Oreochromis niloticus: one gene and its partner. The protein of the gene in region 2 interacts with the protein of the main gene of each other region in a biochemical or structural test. Links are inferred from orthologs where the notes say so. Each region holds a gene or a part of one and is shown on either strand. Other genes may lie near its edges.

Evidence for each region.
Region 1: the proteins of mutyh (region 2) and apex1 form a complex in vitro, tested with the Homo sapiens proteins (3 studies listed by BioGRID and IntAct, with this or other methods). The link is inferred for Oreochromis niloticus from reciprocal best matches to the Homo sapiens genes MUTYH and APEX1.

The regions. Positions count from the first base shown.
Region 1 is NC_031981.2:36,234,538-36,241,645, forward strand, and holds the start of apex1 (DNA repair nuclease APEX1), read right to left. Parts: upstream 3,004-7,108; 5' UTR 2,861-3,003; intron 1,595-2,860; 5' UTR 1,524-1,594; coding exon 1,463-1,523; intron 1,357-1,462; coding exon 1,193-1,356; intron 1,112-1,192; coding exon 919-1,111; intron 539-918; coding exon 24-538; 3' UTR 1-23. Other genes in the region: osgep (tRNA N6-adenosine threonylcarbamoyltransferase), read left to right, coding at 4,416-4,530, 4,627-4,746, 5,476-5,651, 5,798-5,893, 5,994-6,043, 6,146-6,224, 6,348-6,413.
Region 2 is NC_031986.2:43,626,051-43,633,746, forward strand, and holds the start of mutyh (adenine DNA glycosylase), read right to left. Parts: upstream 3,011-7,696; 5' UTR 2,876-3,010; coding exon 2,779-2,875; intron 2,381-2,778; coding exon 2,250-2,380; intron 2,060-2,249; coding exon 2,020-2,059; intron 1,935-2,019; coding exon 1,861-1,934; coding exon of another isoform or gene 1,850-1,860; intron 1,770-1,849; coding exon 1,728-1,769; intron 1,640-1,727; coding exon 1,568-1,639; intron 1,461-1,567; coding exon 1,347-1,460; intron 1,255-1,346; coding exon 1,157-1,254; intron 1,073-1,156; coding exon 928-1,072; intron 794-927; coding exon 706-793; intron 631-705; coding exon 448-630; intron 167-447; coding exon 21-166; intron 1-20. UniProt on the Homo sapiens protein: Involved in oxidative DNA damage repair. Initiates repair of A*oxoG to C*G by removing the inappropriately paired adenine base from the DNA backbone. Possesses both adenine and 2-OH-A DNA glycosylase activities.

The DNA of each region.
Region 1 (7,108 bases), on a different chromosome or scaffold from region 2:
AGCCTTTTGACCTCAGAGTGAGCTTACACAGCTATGTGCAGAGTGATAGGGCAGTGGTCGCTCCCCATCGCCTTGTTGCGGATCTTGCTGTCGCACAAGCCCGGCAGCAGAGAGGACGACAGCACAAAGTAGTCGAGCCTCCAACCCACGTTCTTTGAGCGGGCGTTCATCATGTAGGTCCAGAAGGTGTAGGCGTTGGTCTGCTCGGGGTACAGCTCGCGGAAGCTATCGACAAAACCTGCCGCCAGGAGCTGGCTGAAGCCTTCGCGCTCCTCGGGGGTGAAGCCAGCATTTTTCTTGTTCCCCTTGGGATTCTTCAGATCGATCTCCTGGTGAGCAACGTTGAGATCTCCGCACAGCACCAGGGGCTTCTGCATGTCCAGCTCACTCAGGTATGCACGGAAGTCCACGTCCCAGGTTTTGCGGTAATCGAGGCGAACGAGGCCTCTGCTAGCGTTTGGCACATAGGCCGTCACCAGGTAGAAGCTGGGAAACTCGGCAGTGATGACACGGCCCTCCTTATCGTGCTCTTCTTTGCCTAGAACATTAGTCAAAATGATATCAGTTGCTTCACCAGTACTTAAACTGTTTGTATAGGTTTAATGTGTTGGTAAAGCATACCAAAAATGTCTCTGTTGGTTTCATCTAAAGTTTTATGCTGATAAGGCAAAAACATCAGTTTTTCAAGAGCAGGAATCTGGTAATCACACACAATGTGCTCATTATGGGAGAACCTTCTAAACTACCAATGGGGCTTCATGCTAAACAGTCCCTATTTGCGGTTATCCACTAATAATTTCAAAGAATAATTTACTTCAAACATAGAAGATTTCACATGTTTAAAATGTTGCTGTACATGTTTTTTTGCCATTTCTGGGCATCATAAATAACTAAGCAGAACACAAAGTTCACCCTTACCAATTCCATAGGTCACTTTGATGGGTTCAGTCTTGCAGAGCATAGCCACCCCACTGTAACCCTCCTTGTCACCTGATGCAGCCCAGTACTTGTGAGGGTACTCGGGCATTGAGGTGATTTCAGCAGGGAGGGCTTTCTCTGCACACTTTGTCTCCTGTAGGCATAAAATGTCTGGATCCTCCTCTCGCACCCACTGGGAAAAGACAAATGTGCTTGTTAGGATCAATCAGTCTCAAAACTAGCTAATTAATGTTTCTCCAGACAGCAAACTCACATCCAGGCCCTTCTTTTTAACCCAGGCCCTCAGCCCATCCACATTCCATGACGTGATCTTCATGTTTGCGTTGCGTCCATCTTTGCTGGTCATTTTGTCAGGAGGGTCATCATACAGTATCGGACCCTCTGGTTCCTTGGCTGCCTTTGCTTTCTTTGAAGGAGCTGTGAAATGAAAGACAAATAACACAGGGTTGGATAATAGATGATGTTGGAAAATCTATAGTAAAGGAAAAGTGCATTTCAGTTCATCAGGGCATGCTGGTAGTACCAGAGGCTGTGTCATTTTCTCCTTCCGCAGCTGCCTCTTCTGCCTTCTTGCCCCTCTTCATACCTGAACTCACTCTGACGGCAAGCACACCTCGCAGACACACAACACGCACACACAACACCACACGCGCCGCTGAAAAACAAAACAATTACAATTTAAGTAATGCATCTATTCAGTGCACAAAGGTCAAATGCTGCACCAGTATGCAGGACACACAGGAAGGAATCTCATACATAATGGAAAACTAAATCTCAACATTGAGGATTTGTTACGTTTCCAGTTTTATGTCTTTGTGTACACGTAATCAGCGTTTTAAAATGTTACCCACAGCAGTCTGAAACAATCATATTGTGTTCTGGAAAATTGCGACCAGCTCTTTTCTGAATCAAGACAAATTCAGAAAATCAGCGCAAGTTCAAGTTTTAATTCATTCATATCATATAAATTAAAATTCAATTCATTTAGCAGAGCATTTATATAAGTAGTTTGGCTGAATACAGATCTGTAAACACGATTAAGGCCAACATGGTCAAAACTAGAAACGGAAATTAAAGGAAAAAAAACAGAAGAAAAATGGAAAAGGTTTCAACACTGTAAAGGTAGCAGGTACACCAGAGATGTTTTGAAGAAATTTCACCAGTACGATCAGCAGTTGCTGACTTATATGTATATTCAAAGATGCTCAAGGTTACATTCAAAACCTTGCGGAGTGGCTTAACTACATCTGAAATGTATTATTAATAAAAGTAACTAATACTGGACAGATGATGCTGATATCAATGTTTATGTTTGACAGTTAACAATTTGGATAAAATTAAGTCCTTTTATCACATAAACATACATAAAACAAAAATAACCGAACATAAACATAGTGCACAGGATCAATAAATACGTACAGTAAGTAAATATCGGCCAATTCATCATTCTGATGCTAGTTTTTCTAGTTCTCTCTGTCTGTATGCCGAGAATTAGACTTACAATGGCCGACTTCAATGTGACTATTTACATCCTAATCACATTTTCTGACAAAGCGGAAGCGAGATGAGCTTTTGTTTCAGTTCAAGTCTCTGGTTGAGTGCTTTAAATTCAATACATTGTAGAATTGGCGACCAGCTGATGTAAAATTAATGCATTCATATAATTTAACAGCAACAGAATGAGCTATTAGGAAGTTTGCCATGTTAAACAACAAGTTTAGCTAACAGCAGCTACCGCTAGCTTTTCCTCTCTGACAAAGAAAGCAGGCGGCCTACGCCGAGAATGAATGGAGAATAAGCAGACAGCTAACAAGCCTCCCTCCGAGCTTATCTGATTATCAACGAATGCAAATGCGCTGAAAAATAATTAGCGTCTTCATTTCAAACACGTTTCATGGAAAAGACATGCAAATAACCTTACTTGCACTTTCACAACAGGATGTAAAGCCCAGACAACTGCTGCTTCCCAGGCACTCCCCCCCCAAACACACGCGCCACAGCACAGCTAAGACTTCTGTCCACGTGCTTTGCTGAACTACTGACTGTCTAAATACATGCCTGAAAATTACCGAGAAAAATTCAATATTTGTATGTCTTCTTGAAAAATAAATACGTACTTGCTGCTATAAGTTACACAATGTATTACCGTGACATGTTAGTTAAGTAAGGCTCTGTTTTTACGTTGTCTTATGTTAAGGCAAAATGTGTACCTCCCAGTGTTTGGGTCCTCTGGGCTTCGTTATGGAGGAGTTGAGCTACAGAAATTAGCCCAGTCAATTAAGTTTACGTGCGTAAAAGTTAAAGTGATATGAATTAAGATCAATGTGACCTACAGAAGGAAATTAAAAAAAAGTAGGTAAATATATTTTGTTTTTAAAACCGCATCACCATAAATTTACTTTTGGAAAAAAGTCGGTCTGTTCTCTGGCGGTTAGCATAGGAGCTAATTAGCTATCAGGATGCTTGTGCTTTGGTTCTTTTACGTATTGATTGTCCAAACGTTTAATGTGGAAATATGTAGGTTAAAGGTATATTGTCAGGGTTAATAAAAATGCGTGCGATAACATGTTATCTGCATAAAAATGTTTGCTGCTAAATAATTTGAATCTTGAATTTTGGTGTTGATTGTGTTTTACTGTGGTCAAGTCAAGTCAAGTCAAGTGGCTTTATTGTTATTTCAGCCTTGTGCAGTGTTACAGTTCACAGTGAAGCGAGACAATGTTCCTCCAAGACCATGGTGCTACATATAACATATAACAGACAAGCAACACATGACTACATAATGTGCAGGTATGCAAAAATTGCAACAAAACAAAGACAGTGCAACACCAGACAGAACAGAACGATACAGACACAAGACAGTGCAGACACAACAGTGCAATAGAAAAGGGCAACAATGACAGTGGGTTGTGCAAAAATTAACTTGATGTATGAAGGTGTGTGTATGAGATTGTGCAGATGAGTGCTTTAGGTAGTTACGTGTATGAAGGTATGTGTGTGTGTGTGCATGTGTCAGTCCAGTCACTGAGTGTTCAGTAGTCTGGCGGCTTTGGGGAAGAAACTTTTTTGCAGTCTGGCAGTGAGAGTCCAAATGCTCCGGTACCTCTTGCCAGAAGGCAGCAGGGTGAAGAATGTGTGTGAGGGGTGCATGGGGTCCTCCACAATGCTGGTGGCTTTGTGGATGCAGTGGGTGCGATGAGTGTCTGTGCTGGAGGGAAGAGAGGTTCCAATGATCTTCTCAGCTTTTCTCACTATCCGTTGTAGGGTATTGCGATCTGATGCGGTGCAGTTACCATACCAGACATATTTAGATATGTGGATGTCCAGTTCAAAATTTTCTAGTATAATCTGATTTAGTTTTATTGTGCCTTTTTCTTGCCTGTAATAGACTTCTAAGAGAGATGAAAGGTTTAAATCAAAAGACACTATAACAACACAGTGAATTCCTTCTTTCTGAAACAGTTTTTTCTGCAGCCATGACTGTAGTGATTGGATTTGAGGGCAGTGCCAATAAGATCGGCATAGGCATAATCAGGGATGGGGAAGTGCTTTCCAACCCCAGACGGACTTACATTACACCTCCGGGTCAAGGTAAGTTGGAGTTCCTCTAAGATATTAATGATACCTCCAACATACTGCTTGTATGAAAATCTGTTAGTTGACTGCATGCTTTATTTTATATGTCAGGGTTCCTGCCAAGTGACACAGCCAGACACCACCGTGCTTTCATACTAACCGTCCTGAAGGAGGCGCTGGAGCAAGCGGGGCTAAAACCTGCAGACATCGACTGTGTGGCATACACCAAAGGTAATATAAAAGATTTTAACTTTTCAGATGTCTGTCAAAAATTGATCCAAACATGTTCTCATCAAAAAGGGTCATAGTGATTTTAAATAACTGAGAGTTGATTGTTTGTTAACAAACAAACGTTAGTTTTATATCGCAAGTTACTCAAAAAGTTCAGACCTTCGTTAATGAAGAGCTCCCCGTCAGAAAAAGGATGGCTTAAAGAGATGGGGGTTTTTTCCTAATAAACAAGCCAAAGAACACTTGTCAAGCTCCACAGCTTATAAAGAAAATTGACCATGTCAAAATTTCTCTTATTTATCCTTCCTTTGACAACTATTAAGGCCTGCTTTAAGAAACACGTGCTTATCTGTCTTACATCTTACATATTGGGTTTTTCAATATTTTGAAACTATGACAGAGAGAATATAGCTTAGTGCTATAGCAGCTTTAGACTCTAAGAACATAACTAATGGAGGGTTCAAAACCACCTGATCCAGCCCTAGTTATCAACTATAACCAAAAAGTAAGCTTAATCAGATCATGAGGAGTCTGAGAGCTGAAGGCTCTGGCTCCCATTCTATTTTTATAAACTCTAGGAACTTAAATTAAGCCTGCAACCTGAGAGCAAAGTGCTCTGTAGGAATATTATTGTACTAAAAGGTCTTTAAGATATGAATTGAAATAAAGGGACTGTGATTCTTGACTGATGTCTGTAGAAGACCTAACCAATAAGTTGTTCTCCTTCAGGTCCTGGTATGGGTGCACCCTTGGTGACGGTGGCTCTAGTGGCACGCACAGTTGCACAGCTTTGGGGAAAGCCGCTGCTCGGTGTGAACCACTGTATCGGACACATAGAGATGGGACGACTTATCACCAAAGCCAACAACCCCACCGTGCTTTATGTTAGCGGGGGCAATACACAGGTTGGTTCCTCCCTGTAAGCCTCATGAAGAGCTTTTTGGCACAGAACGACTACACTGCATTTTCTGATGAGCAGCTGTCAGCTAAACAGCAGTATATTTGAAGTAGAAATGCAGTTTGAGTTTTGTTCATCCTGAATTTTGTGCAGGTTATTGCATACTCAGAGCGGCGGTACCGAATATTTGGGGAGACCATCGACATTGCAGTCGGCAACTGTTTAGACAGGTTTGCCAGAGTTATTAAGGTTTGTGTCATACTTCTCAACATAAAATCATCAAGTTGAATTTCACTTAGTGCAACAGATGTGTGATCATACTTCTGTATGAAACCATTTCTACACTCAGATTTCCAATGATCCAAGTCCAGGCTACAACATAGAGCAGATGGCCAAAAAGTGAGTGAGATCACTGAATAGTTGTGAATATTTAGTGTTCTTTATGTTTTTTAATATTTTTTAATGTTTATTCTAAACTTGGCTTTCGCTCCACATTGCCAGAGGGAGTCAGTATGTGGAGCTGCCATATACAGTAAAGGGCATGGATGTGTCCTTTTCTGGCATTTTGTCCTACATTGAAGTAAGTCCTTTGCTCTTCTGTAAAGTTGGTTGTGTCATATTGATTATCTCATGCATCATGGCTGCAAGGCAAGGCGTGAAATACTTTTGGTTTACGTTCTTTACGTTTATATTCCTTCCACAGGATGCTGCTCATAAGATGCTGAGCTCTGGTCAGTGTACAGCAGAAGACCTGTGTTTCTCACTTCAGGTACAGCATAGCGCCTTTATACACACGAAAGTCAGAAAGTTCATATTTTGGTTAGGTGGAAAACATTTGATCCAGTTACCTTTGGTGTTGCAGTGGAGTTATCCTCTGATAAAACACCTTAAAGGAGTTTTTCTCATTGACTTTATAAGATTGTCAGAACATATTTCTGAAACAAAAATGCTCCTTCTCATTTCAAGTGCAACTGGAGCTTATTTCTGGCAGCTGGTTCACCAGGTTTTGTACATTGTATAATTTACTGAAAAGTGTGATTTGGTTTGTTTGAGGAGCAGCCCAGAGGAGGTTTCACACTTTTATAAGTTTCACAAAACGACTTTATGTTCAAATCAGTGTGTGTGAAAAGCTTGTTCTTTTTTTATTTTAGTTTATTTTATCAATTAGTTTTAGCGAGAGTTATGAGAGTTTTAGCTAATAGATAAATTAAAGTTTTATTACTGAATTGATCAGTTAGTTTGTTTAAAATAAGACAGAAAGTAGTGTCAATGGTCAAATCTACAACAGCTCTATACAATGTCCTGAAAGTTTTGTGTGTGTGTGTGTGTGTGTGTGTGTGTGTGTGTGTGTGTGACCAACTATCCAGAACTCAAAGATCCAAGAAGATTAAAGCAGCACATTATTTGAATTGTTTAAGGTGTGATTAGAGCATACTGGATTATGAAAATATTTACCTCTTGAAT
Region 2 (7,696 bases):
GGTCTAAATATCAAGCTTACCTCTCCCACATACTGCAGGAGGTTTTCAGTTAAATGCGTTCCCAGTATTCTGCTGATTTCCTCGCAGAGCGCCCCCTTCTGTTTCTTCTCAGAGTTTTCGACCTCAAGCAGAAGACTTGGAAACTCCCACAAGCCTGCCAACAAACCTGAAAATACACACGTTTACTTGCAGAATTTATCCATGCAGCCCACCCAGACAGATTTACTTACTTTTACCGGTTTTTATGTGTGTCTGTATCAAGCTGCACAATGACTGAGACATCTACCAGAATTAGAGCCTGCCTCCAGACCAATGCATCACTCCTAACACTAACAGTTTTCTCAGTGATTCAAGTAGTCTGATTCAGTCTCGTTATCAGGACAGAATTGTGTGCATTCTGAATCCAACGCTTGACCAGCACAAGCTGATGTGGCAATCAGTGCTAACCTTTGCTTGGCCTCTGTATGAGCAGGAACTTTTCTTCCCCGTCATCTCCAGGCCTCTTCACCACACAGGTAAGAGTTCGCTCCACTCGGGGTGGCTTCTTCGACGGCTTTCTGGGGAAGTTCTGAACACCCAGCTCATCATTCCAGGGCTCCGAGGGACACAGGGGACATGTTACACTGTTCGCTTCACATATAGAAAGATACTTTTAATTTCAGGACTATACAGACATCTGAGAGGTCTGAAGGGAAGGAGACTTACTGCAGTCTTCTATGTCAGGCAGCTTTGAAGTCTTTGTACCCAGCTTCCCCAAAAGATTCTTAGACTTTTGCTCTTGTTTGACATGAACCTGTGCAGACACACAATGTGCACCCATGCCATTAACTGCAGAGAATCTTTTCTAATCTGTGTTAGCATTGTCTTCTTCTGTGTTCGCATAATCGGACCTTAGTGGTACCAGTCGCAATTTGAAATCATCCCAACCTTGTGATAAGAGTGACAGTGAGACTGTACGGGGCACTGACTGCACAGTGGCCCTTTAGGGGTGCAGACTCGTGCTCCCAGCTCCATCATGGCCTGGTTAAAGTCTCCAGGTCTCTCAGGATCCACCAGCATATTGGCCAGATTCCTTAAACACAAGAGAAATAAAAACATTCAAAAGCTTTCCGTTTATATATTCCCACAATTATTTTGGTTTGGAGGTGAATCTCACCAAAGTGCCTCTGTTACTGCTGGACTTGTGCTGTCAGCTCCAATCGCCCTCAGGCGACACAGCACCCGAATGACATTACCATCCACAGCTCCGGTAACCTAGACAAGAGAGATCACATCACTTATGCGTGATTAATAAGAGAGTACCTAAGACTTTGCTCTGCTGCAGATATCCATGTCTAATGACCCACCAGCCCCTGTGCAATAGAGCCTATAGCTGCAGCAGTGTAGCGTCCCACTCCAGGCAGCTGTTTGAGCAGGCTCTCAACCGTCCGAGGCATCTGTCCCTTTAGCTCTGACACCACCTAAAGGAAATCGAACATATAATGAACACTCAAACACAGAAGGTATGAGACGTTTCTGCAGACATACTATTTAGAAGTGTTAGATAAAGGGAAGAACACAATCAGACCTTCTGCGCTCCTTCATGCAGCCTTCTTCCACGGGAGTAGTAGCCCAGGCCTGCCCACATCTGATTCACCTCCTACCAATCAACACAATCAGTACATTCACATTAAAAACATCATCATTTTAAAATCATTGTATGTGCATTTGCTGCTTTAAGTCATCACCTCTAGAGTTGCAGCTGCAAGATCCTGGACTGTGGGCCACCTCTGGAGCATAATAAATAGAAGCTTTAAGTTGCACACAATGAAATCAATGTCACAAGAAGTCCAGTGCACAAAAAACCTACACGATGCAAACCTTCATCCACTTGTTGTAATAGTCTTTTACTGTGGCAACCTGAGTCTGCTGCAGCATTATTTCTGAAACCCATACTGAAAAAAAAGCACATGCACTTAGACGTTTAAGCAGCAGTTAAAGATGTGTACATTTGTCAAGAATCCACCTAACTCTTCTCACCTCCATATGTCCTGATGTTGATGTCTGACTCTGTTATAGCCTGTAGAAAGTAACGAAAGGCAAAAAGCTACAAATTTCCTCTGAGAAAAAGACTAAAAATACGACAGAAACCACCAAAACACTGACATGGCAGAACCGTTAACTTTGAACCAAACTTATTTCTATATCATATGTTACATTAATGTATATTAATGATGACAACGAAGTAGTATAATATAGTTTCTTTTTACCAGAGTCCTCCATGGCAGCTCTCTCTTCTCCTTGTTGTACCAGTTAAGGAGTTGAGAGCGAAAGCGGACAACATCAGCAGGATCAGGGAAAGTGTGGTACGGAGATGGTGAGGAAGCATCTGTGGTTTCCTCTGGAAGACCAAAAACACAATGCTCACTCAGACTAAAGAAATCCCACTGAAATCTTATTTGTCTATTGTGCTGTTATTAAACGTTTCTATTGTATACTATAATAATTATGATTATTAGATTGAAACAAGTCCCATCAGATATTCATGCCATTTCTTGCAGCAGTACCAAACTTTACCTAACACATGAGCCTGCAGGACACGGTTTGGCTGCGCAGGACGCATCTCTACTGCTGTAAATTCTGAAGCTGCCAAAACATTCTGGCACTGCTTAAACAGTTTAGCAGTTCGTTTTTAGCATCACCTAAAGTGATGTGTTTACTTTCAAGTATGCAATGAAAGCTGAAATGTAGATCTCTCTATGACGCGCAGATATGAAGTAACAGCAGCATGGTGGCTACCTTGTTTCTTTGACTTCTTCCGCTTCGGTAATGCGCTTTCTACCACCTCCACTCCGGCTCGCTTGCCTTTCTGCATCGCTGAACGTAACCTGCTCATAATCAGAAATAATATAAAGCAACCTATTCTGTTTCTGTCCGCACAGCAGGACCAGACACGTTTGCTTCATGCATTCATTTCTGGCTCCCGCCACGTTAAGGAGTGATGGTCCCGGCTCATCCAATCAGCTGTGAGGAAACCCATTACGTACGCTAACGTCAACTCCGGTGGGCGGGTCAAAATAAGACCAGTCATTTCTTTATATTTTGCTAGAAAGAAATGATAATAGGTAGAACGATTTATTGAAACGTAGGCAAACATACATGGAAATACAGCATATAAGTCAAAAACAGAGTCTATAGACTCTCTTAAACAGCTTCCTTGTAATTTATTTAAGTAGCCTTCAGGAATAGTTTTCCAGGTTGCTTGAACGAAATGCAAAGCTCTTCTCTGGATATTGGCTCCCTTTCTGATCTGTGTCAGGATGATCCCACATTGCTTCAATAATATTGAAGTACAGTCTCTGAACCTGCAGCCAATCCATGATTTAGAGAACCCTACTCTGTGTCTTTTGCTCCATTGGCTGTGTTTGGGACCATTTTCATGTTGAAAAATGAAGCAGCTGCAAATCCGATTCTTTCCAGATGGCATCACCACAGCCCTACCCAAGGAGCTGCAGGTGTCCTTCTATACACACTGTGTTGAATCTGTACTGGCATATTGCATACCAGTGTGGGCTGCCAGCAGTCCAGCACTCCAGAAGGTCATAACACGACACAGAAGATCATCACCTGGTTGAGCTGTTACCCTCAGGTAGATGCTACAGGACAACTAAAGCTAAAATGAGGAGACTGAAAAACAGCACATATCCTAGGATGTTGCAATAATAAATAATAAATAACAAACAACAAATGAACAGTGTTATGCCCCCTTTGACTCAAACACACACACACACACACACACACACACACATATATATAGATATATAGATATATATATCTATATATATATATATATATTAGTATTAAACACTTCACCAATTTCTAAGCATATTTTTAAAGTTGCTATTGACATGGAATCCTCAACAGATTCTTTGGGTCCCTTCTATGAACTCTGAGATTTTTAAGTGGATTCAGGTCAGGTGACTGCTGGGCCATTCTAGCAGTTTTATTTTCCTTCTCTGAAACCAAGTGCGAGTTTCTTTGGCTGTGTGTTTGGGGTTATTGTCTTGCTGAAACGTCCGCCCTCATTTCATCTTTATCATCCTTGTAGATGGCAGCAGATTTTTATCAAGAATGTCTCGGTACATTTTTCCATTCATTCTTCCTTCAATAATATAAAGCGTGCCAGTAACGTATGCTGGAAAAAGCCACACACCATGATGTGACCTGTTGTTAAGGTGTTTTTGGAGAGATATGCAGCGCCTTTTGACCTCCAAACATGGTGTGTATTACAGACTCCAAAGAGTTCAGTTTTAGTCTCATCTGACCAGACTATATTCTCCCAGTATTTCACAGGGTTGTCTAAATATGTCTATAATTATGTGGTGAGTGTGCATACAGGCCATGGTGGTTGACAGCACTACTTATAGTTTTCTTTGAAACAGTTGTACCTGCTTATTCCAGGTGTTTCTGGAGCACTTCATGAGTGGTCCTTGGCTCTCGGCAACTCTTTTGATAATTACCCGCTGTGTTTGCTGTATGTGAGTTTACTTGTGTCAAAATTGGGGACTTCTATCAGCTCACACACCAGTACCCCTCTCCCTTTGGGGACCAAAACCACCGTCCGCAATTAGTTTTACCTCTAATAATGTTCAGCATGCTCTAAAACATGTTTTAATCCAAAAATCTCCCCTGTCCCCAAAAGTGACATTCTTTGGATTTTTTATGTATGTGTATGATGTTCTCTCACAACAATCTGTGTATAACTCTATGATGCCCCTAGTGGAAGAGTATGATATTGCAAAGATTTGTATGAATAGTTTTATAAGACTTTAAGACTTTATAAGACTTAATTGATCCCACGACGGGGAAATTTTTGCGTCACCTCAGCTCAGGTACAGATATCAGAAGGAAATACAAAAAAAAAAAAATACAAATAAGTACAATCAATGAAAAAAGTAAGATAATACACTATATACAATGGTAGCACACACAGTATGTGATTATGGATATGGTTGGAAATATGGAAGACATAAACTATATCGCTTGATATAGCTATTGTACCACTGTACAGCTATTTATATAAATAAACTGATATTTTCTTGACTAAACAATAGAAGTCAGTACATTATTTGTTAGCAAGTAGTTGAAAATTGGAAATTTGCTTTTTTTTCCCTTTAATCACAAATACTTGAGTCATGATAACTATGTGACACTTTATAGCTGTATTGATAAAAAAAAAAAAGCCACTGTAAATTATGCTGAGATTACAGCGCATTTATGCTGAAGACACACACTTAGATGAAAGTGTGAAAGACTGCAGCTGCTTTCTTATAGCATATATCTTAGAGTCTTCTTACAGCAGTTGTGCCAGCAAGTGAAATATGCCATCATCTGATGGAGCATGAGCTTTAGAGCCAGTTATTAACAAAGTTCAACAAGCTGGTAATGAAGGCTGACACTGTTTTAGGTAGTTCTCTGAAACCTCTAGAGACAATTGTGCAAAGATGTAGGATTTGGCTAATTATTAGGACTTACATACTTCATATTTCAGCTGGTGCTTGATTTTAGTGTTTTTCTCCCCAGCAAGTTAAAGTGCGTTGTGCAGAAAAAGGATTGTAGTGAGAAATTTTTTCTATTTTTTAAACAAAAATCTGAGTGGAAGAGAAATCCAGAAATCTTTAAATTAAAAAATAAATGGCAGCACTAGGCCCCTGTCTATGTAGCTCCAGTACTCTGTACCTCTTGAGGTTCAAACTGCACAACCTTCACCAATAATACAACTATGATGTAATTATTTTGTTTGATTATATATAAATCTGCATTTGATTTTTTTTTTTAAATGGTATGGCAAAAACACCCCTAGGCCATACATTACAAATGGAAAATCCCAGAATCAGCTTGGTTATATAAGGCTTAGGAGGCTACCTGCTCTGGTTTGGCATTATGCCTTGGAAAAACATTCGAAGGTAAGACAAAAACAAACAACACAAACACAAAAGGTCTTACTGTTGCAAAACATACTAATGGCAATCTTTATTGCTACCAGTTAGTGACATTTAAGATATAATCCAGAAGTGGAATTGACCTTTATGCACATGTTCAAAGCGGAACTTTTTGATGTCATTGTGCACACCATGTTTGGAGAAAGAATGGTTCTGCATATCACCCCGAAAAACAAAATGCAAAAAAGCTTTGTATGCCCAAAGCAAGAGCTGTGTCTGCATTCTTGGCACAATGCTGAGCTTGTTCCCGCGGCAGGTTAAGCTATGCCTGAGCTGGCCCTTGTCACCAATTCTGTTTGTGGTTTTTATGGATGAAATGGTGTCTAGTTTGTGAACCTTAGGGTCTCATCTATTGGCCAATAACATGGTACTGTTGGCTTCTTAAGGCCATGACCTTCAACGTGCACTGGATTAGTTTGCAGCTGAGTGTGAAGCAGCTGGCATTAGAGTTAGCTCCTTTAGGTCTGAGGCTATGGTTCTGGAACAGAGAAACCCCTCTGGGTTGGAGGTCACTCTCTGCCTCATGTGGACAAGTTTTAGTATCTATGCTTGTTTACAAGTGATGTTAGGATGTAGCAGGAGTTGGAGGTCGGATTCCACAGTAATGTGGAGGTAGCAACGGTCTGTTGTGATAAAGAAACAACTGAGCCAAAAACAAAGCTTTCAATTTACAAAGGTGTCTATGTTCTGTCCCTACAACACATTATCACTCCTAACTCTTCATATATGGACACTTGGTCAGGGTCCTTCTGCTTCACTTATCAACATGCCGGGTACCCCCCTCGCGTCATGAATTAACTTGCAGGGTACTCTTATTGTATACTATAGAGCTCCCTAAACGTTGGTAATTGATGACAAGAGACTGCCGCAGAAGAGCCTGTTGTCCCTATATTTATACATTTCCGAAATCACATTGTAGTGACTTATACTGACCACAACAAATTATACAATGTAAACAACTACCTGAGAGAAACAGCAGATACGGCAGATAAACTAATTACAGGCTATTACGTTTGTATCGGTTATTGCATTGCTGGAGGGAGTGGTGTATGCTGGAAGTAGCAGTTTTGGAGTGAAATGTTTCGTGTTTCATGCAATGCTCAGAAATCTTTTACTTTTTTTTTTACTTTGTTACAGACACGTCTTCCTGCAACTGTTAGCAGCACTTCAAATGAGCCATATTGCTCAAAGGGGCACAACTGTTGTTTCTCATTTTGTTTTTGCACTCAGGAAAAATGCTGCCGTGTTCAGACAACAAATACAAAGTTTTGCACATCATTACTCAATTGTGACTTAGTGTTCTATCGAAATTTAAAACGAATGTCCTCATATGTGGATATAATTTTTCTCAGAAATTACATCAGGTAAAAAGATAATTCTTTGTTTTTACAGAGGCATTAAAAATGCATGCCATGAAAGAGTTCGGGTCTTAGGAGGTTAAAATTTAAATAATTCTTCAAAATAACTGTTGAAATAATTGCTGCCTTTAGTGGCTGAACAATAGGACATGCTTTTAGCAGGACGTACCATCTATTTTAAATTAACCTGATGATGGTTCATTCAGGTGTGTGTGGTGTATTACTGGTTTGGTGTGTGCGTCTCTATAAAAAAAATACCATCCATATCAATAATACCAGAAAATAAACACAAGTTAATAAATATTTTTAAACACATTGTCTTCACTGGATTATTAGGAGGAGAAAAATGGGCAGAGT